Linked DNA regions of Saccharomyces cerevisiae S288C. The gene in region 1 interacts genetically with each later gene. Each region holds a gene or a part of one and is shown on either strand. Other genes may lie near its edges.

Evidence for each region.
Region 2: mutations in DOT5 (region 1) and MRH1 together harm fitness more than expected from each alone (negative genetic interaction), as found in Saccharomyces cerevisiae (2 studies listed by BioGRID).

Annotation. Positions count from the first base shown.
Region 1 is NC_001141.2:332,799-336,262, forward strand, and holds DOT5 (thioredoxin peroxidase DOT5), read left to right. Parts: upstream 1-2,083; coding exon 2,084-2,731; downstream 2,732-3,464. Other genes in the region: YIL012W (uncharacterized protein), read left to right, coding at 213-554; TIR3 (Tir3p), read left to right, coding at 929-1,738.
Region 2 is NC_001136.10:506,299-509,788, reverse strand, and holds MRH1 (Mrh1p), read right to left. Parts: upstream 1,643-3,490; coding exon 680-1,642; downstream 1-679. Other genes in the region: LYS14 (Lys14p), read left to right, coding at 1-52.

The DNA.
Region 1 (3,464 bases):
AAGTTGTAGGAAACAAAAGTGGCCGTCTATGTGGCGCTTCTCTGCGGTGAATTCTGTGCGAAGTGCCTAAACGAAAACGGACGGAGAAGGCTGCGGGGGGATATCCCTTGCATAAAGGATGCCCGGCACTGTCCTAGACGGTGCCTTCCCTTAGAGACTAGGAGAGACTTGAGTAGGAGAAACTGAGCAGGAAAATTCGAGAGATAAAGTACATGTGCCTAGGTAAGCTGTACTTCGAACAGCTAATATTAGTAAGATGCATAAAGGGGCGTCAAAGTGGAAATATAACGACAGGAGAATCTCGGTGTGTAAGTTGGAATGTGTATTGCACCACTTCCATGATTGGGCTTTTTTCCTGGCGCAAAATGTTGCTTTTTCAACATTTTTCTTATACGCAGAGAGAGAATCGTCAGATAGGTGGTAAAACTTGGAGCCTAATTAGCTCATTATTTCATTTGAACGAGACATTGGCTTCTGCCCTACATCACCCATACGAGACATTGGCCTTATACGAGGCGTACTTCGCCTTGCGGGAAAAAAAATTTCTTTTGTAAGCGAGGTTACTCAGAAACTGTGACTGAAGGCAGAGGTTGGAAACGTGTGTAGACTCCAAATGGAACGATAGGAACGTGTACCCTACCGCTTCTGCACACGTTTCTTAGATATGCGTGCCTTAAGGCGACCCATTGTTCCTGTTTACCATGATTTCTGTAGGCTTTTTTTTAGAAGGCCCTAGAATGGATTGCAGATTTCCGTCTGAGAAGGCAGTATACGTACATATGAATATATATATACATATATTCTTTGGTGGAGAGTATAAGCGTTTCGTCTCCTCTTCCTTTCTCTACTGCAGATTTTCTTGCTGGTTGTTTGATTTTTTCTTTTTAGTGTTCCCCAGATCCAATTGTTCAACCGCCCACACACAACAATGTCTTTCACTAAAATCGCTGCCTTATTAGCTGTTGCCGCTGCCTCCACTCAATTGGTTTCTGCTGAAGTTGGACAATATGAAATCGTCGAATTTGACGCTATTTTGGCTGATGTCAAGGCCAATTTGGAACAATATATGTCCTTGGCAATGAATAATCCAGACTTTACCCTACCATCTGGTGTTTTGGATGTTTACCAACATATGACCACTGCTACTGATGATTCCTACACCAGTTATTTCACCGAAATGGACTTTGCTCAAATCACCACTGCCATGGTTCAAGTGCCTTGGTACTCTTCTAGACTGGAACCTGAAATCATCGCTGCTTTACAAAGCGCGGGTATCAGTATTACCTCCTTAGGTCAAACCGTTTCCGAATCTGGTTCCGAATCTGCCACTGCTTCCTCAGACGCTTCTTCTGCTTCTGAATCCTCTTCAGCTGCTTCTTCTTCTGCTTCTGAATCCTCTTCAGCTGCCTCCTCTTCTGCTTCTGAATCCTCTTCAGCTGCTTCTTCCTCTGCTTCAGAATCTTCTTCTGCTGCCTCCTCTTCTGCTTCTGAAGCTGCTAAGTCTTCTAGCTCTGCCAAGTCTTCTGGCTCTTCTGCTGCTTCATCTGCTGCTTCATCTGCTTCTTCCAAGGCCTCTTCTGCAGCTTCCTCTTCTGCAAAGGCCTCCTCTTCTGCAGAAAAATCTACTAATAGCTCCTCCTCTGCTACCTCCAAGAACGCTGGTGCAGCTATGGACATGGGCTTCTTCTCCGCTGGTGTTGGTGCCGCTATTGCCGGTGCCGCTGCTATGCTCTTATGATTGTCACTTATTAATGATAAATTATAAAATGTTATATGTAAAAAAACAAATATACACTTTTTGAATATTAGTATCCTATTTTAATATACTGTCTCCTAGATAATACAAACTTAATTTGCTTTCTCTTCACACTTTTTTCTTTACTCTTGTAATGTACACTTGGCTGTACATTAAAAAAAGGAATGTTCGAGCAAGAGCATGAAATCCACAGACGGCTGTGCCATGTAGCAGCCGTCGAGAAAAAAAAGATATAGAAAAGGGAAGAGAAATATCATTGTTATTACATCCACTGGATGAAGTAATACTACGAGCTTTATACAGGTAATATTAAAGTTCCTTAATAGAATGGGTGAAGCACTACGTAGATCAACCAGGATTGCAATATCCAAAAGAATGTTGGAAGAGGAAGAGTCCAAACTGGCCCCTATTTCGACACCGGAAGTGCCTAAGAAGAAAATCAAGACGGGTCCTAAACATAACGCTAATCAAGCAGTAGTTCAAGAGGCAAATAGGTCATCTGATGTTAACGAATTAGAGATAGGCGATCCTATTCCTGATTTGAGTCTTTTAAATGAAGATAATGACTCTATCTCCTTGAAGAAAATCACCGAAAATAACAGAGTTGTGGTGTTTTTTGTGTATCCCAGGGCAAGCACGCCTGGTTGTACTAGACAGGCCTGTGGATTTCGTGACAATTACCAGGAACTCAAGAAATATGCTGCTGTCTTTGGACTGAGTGCAGATTCTGTGACATCCCAGAAAAAGTTTCAGAGTAAACAAAATTTGCCATATCATTTACTAAGCGATCCAAAGAGAGAGTTTATTGGGTTGCTAGGAGCCAAAAAAACGCCACTTTCTGGTTCTATTAGATCGCATTTCATTTTTGTTGATGGGAAGTTAAAATTCAAAAGAGTTAAGATATCACCAGAAGTTAGTGTAAATGACGCCAAAAAGGAGGTTTTAGAAGTCGCTGAAAAGTTTAAAGAAGAATGAAGTTTAATAACCCCCTTTTTGTTTCTCTAGAGGAGTACTTATCGGTAAAATATTCCAAACCCTTCCCTTTATATATGTAGATAAACGAAGATATTCTAACTCTCTCACACTTATAAAATATCGAGCCTGCAGAAGGTCATAAATATTTATATACAAATGGGAAAGTACTTAACGATCCGACTTGATCAATATCAAATATCGTGGCCTGGTTTACATTGAGAACGGGCACTATTTCTTTGGACGAAATGTTGCTTAGGCAAATTTTGAAGTGAGACATTGCTCGAGAATTTGTTACGTAGACTAAGTCAGCATCGCCAATGATCATTAAGCAATTGGTCGTCTCAGATGTGATCCTGCAATTATGAGTCCTTTCAAAATTAGATACACACTCTTGGGAAAACTCAACTAAGTATTTGGTGTGAGGAATCTCTTATCGATGCGTATACCTTGTAGTCGCAAACGTTATAAAATTTTGTAATTTTGGCGAAATGGCACGGATTGGTTAAAATTGTCGGGCTCATATGCGGTAGCGCTAAGTCCTGCTTGGTCAAGCTAGGAATTACATGGCCAGAGGGATGATATTGATCATGCTCCGAGTTGTCTTCAATTAATGCCTTTATCCATGGTTGTAGAAAAACTGAGTCTGTTGGCTTTGAATGAGACTCCAGAATTACTTTCGGCATTGTTTACTTGTTATCCCGATTTGTACCCAGGATTTACAGCTTTTAATTCA
Region 2 (3,490 bases), on another chromosome or scaffold:
TGGTAAAAATCAAAATTACAGGTTAGAAGAACAAGACGTTTTAACATGGTAGTTTGTCTGTTTACGTAATAATTTTGCCTGTAGATTGATATAAAATTGTGTACGGATAATTGCACTGGCACGTCAAAAGTCCGAGAACTATTTTTCTCGAGAATGCCGCGCAAAGCAGGCACCGTGCCTTTATCTTTCTTTTTTTTCCTCCAGCACTAAACCTTCCATAACAATACTATTAGAAAGGTTGTTATCAAATATTAAAATAACTATTAAAGTGATACAAATATATATATAGATGACGATGGGCATAAAAAAGCTCGTTTCTAATCATCAACTATACGTTTCTTGATCAAAATGCACTGAGCAAAATATTGTTATGAAAACATACTTGCTTGACGAAATGGATTAAATGGATCCATTAAATTAAAAAATGAGTCTAGAATTGCACTTTATGATAGAAAATAAAAATTCGACAAGAAATGGTGATAATTTAACGAACGAAAATATTGAAACGTCAGGAAAATAAAATAAAATATGATAAAAGTTGAAGATGGAGTAAAATAATCTTGTCAAATAATCAATAAAGACAGTTTTATCCATTTATAGGATTGGCTTGAAGTAGAAAATTCTTCAAAGATGATTGAAAGAAAGAAGAAAGTAGCACATAATTGACATGACGATTGGCTTATTCTTCAGACTTCTTAGACTTCTTAGATTTCTTGCTCTTCTTAGACTTCTTTTTCTTGTCCTTACTCAAGTTTGGTGTAGCAGCAGGTCTTGGACTAGCAACTGGAGCTTTTGGAGCCATCACTGCTTCGGCATCACTAGGTCCGAAATGGTAGCCCAATTTGTCAGCACCGAAGTGGTTAGCAATTGGAACCAATAAAGTTGGAATGAAACACATCAAAATAAGATCAATGATACCATAGAAAATACCGGCAGAGTCTGGCTGCAAAACGTTACCACCATCGGTAATACCGAAACAAGTTGGGTAAGCAATAATCCACAAGAACATAATAATGCTGAAGAAAACAAGGAATGTCAACCTGATATCGTTATCTCTTTGTTTCACCAAGTTGTAACTGGTGGTCATAACACTGATACTAACGACAATAGCAGCACCTAGACCGATGGTGTAGTAACCCCATTTGTAAGTGGAGTGAACACAGGCAGCGATCAACCAACAAACAGTGAAGAATTCAGTAATACAAACATTGAAAGCCATTTGCCAGAATGGGGTACCAGCTAGCATACAGATTTGAATAATTGGCCATGGCAAAGCTAAGAACCAACCAACGAATCTAGAGTAGAAGATTTGTCTGTAACCTGGATGTTCTTTTTGAGTAGAAGTTTGGACATGGTTGTACTTAGCCTTGACTGGAATCCAACCTAAGTTAGAAGCCATGGTGAAATAAGCGATACACATGAAAAAGTTTGGAGCAATACCGGTAAGGTAAAAGAATCTGTCATTGACTGGTTTTCTGAACATTAAGAATGTTAAAATTAAACCAAATAATAGGTAACAACAGAAACATGTCCAGAACCAATCGGAACCACGACTAGTGATGTGGAAATCCGCACCGGTTGGAGGGTTAATTTTGATGGCTTCGTTACCACCTCTTTTAATTAAAGTTTCAAAGGTAGACATTGTTATTTTTCTTCTTTGTTCTGTGGGTTAAAGGAAGATGATTAGATATTAAGTGAAATTAGGTATTAGTTAAAATTAAAGCAAAAAATTAATGTTAAAATAGGGTCAAAAAATTGGATGTAGAGAAAGAAAAAGTTATTGAAATAATAATATTTTTGTTCGAGGAAACTTTTTTTTTTTCTGAGTTTCTTTTATTATTCTTTTTCTTCGCAATGTTTCTTAACAATAAGGACAAAAGATAGTGACAACGATCTAAGAATTAAAATAAGCTTAATAATAAATAAAAAGAAGAACTTGAAAAGGGAAAAAGAAGAAATAACGAGAAGTGGGAAAGAAATAAGGATATATCTTAAGTTACCGAAAAAGACACTACTTATAAATGAAGAAACCAGGTGAAGAGATCCTTTGTTTTACGAAGACCGTATTTATACATTTCCCTTCATGTACATGTGTGATAAATTGGAAAACCACTTCTGGAATTAAACTGCTTTTTCTGACATCCTTGTGCAGTCGTTACTGCGATTATTTACATCTTTACTGATTCGTATGAGTGTTTATTTCCATTTTGCCTTTTTTGTCCAGGAAAACTAGAGATGCCGATTTTCGGTTAACAAAAAAAGTCCTGGTGAGGGAAAAAAAACGCTATTTTTTTTGCTCACCGCACTAAGAACTAGCCGGAGAAGACTAAGCTAGGAAAGGGATGGAACAGATGACGACGAAGAAGATTAAGTAAAAAAGGTAAAGGGAGACGAGATGGTGACAAGTATCTCTTTTTTTTATTGCCTTTTTCATATTACCTATTACCGCAAACTGATATATTTCTCAAAGGAGAAATAGTAAAGTGGAAGAGGTTTGGGTCTCTTGGTAACCGGACTACATTTGCAAGTTGCATCTTCCATCGAAGTATTAATTCCCTCCATCCTCTTCTCACTAACACCGGCACGATTTTAAAAATTTTTCAACTCCGTTGTTGAATTACGTATTCCTCTTTATGGTAAGCGCTAAGATGAACAGCGCTGAAAAGCAAAATTTGAATGCTTGAAATTCAGAACATGACTATTCGTTCAGTACTCGCTTCATTTGCATCCTTAGTTAATTTGGCCTGAATTACTTTTTGAATTCAAGAGATAGTGCATAAAATGCGGCCCCCCTTTCCAGCTTCCATAAATTGCGCTGATTGCATGTCTGACTAAGCTTTTTTTTTTTTTTAAGCGACCTTGTCTCGAGGAGCATAATAAAAAAAAGGGAGTAAGGTCGGCGGCAGTCGCTTTTATTAAACTGAAGTAAAACAGAACAAAAATTACTTAAGGGTCGCTAATATTACCCTTATCCTCTCAACAAAAGATAAGAAATTAATTGACCTATACCTATAATACCTAATAAACCCAAAAGTGTCTTGCTCTGATGTATTTGTTTTTTTTAACACAACCTTGCTACCTTAGGCCATCGAGAAGAGATTGAGGTCAAAGTGGAAGCGTTGGAAAAGAAGGAAGACCCATAGTATAATGAAGCTAGTTACCATCCTTAGACGACGCCCATATTTTTCAATTTCTCTTATTTTTTTTTTACGCAGCGTAGCAGTTATGGACAAAAGCCGGCCTGAAACAAGATTGAGATTAAATGAAAGGGCGTCTGCTTGTATATGAACTCAGTCGTCCACTCTTTTTAAAGTACTCTACTTATATAAAAAAAAAAGATAGGGATTTACAATGTTAATTATTACACGCAGCATCTAGCGTATGATTGTATGTCCCGAATGCCCCGTTATTACCCAATAAAGCAAATTAATACGGTCTTTTTATAAAGCTGTGCTTCTTTTTCGGGGTAGTTTTTCCGTGAAACCCGTAG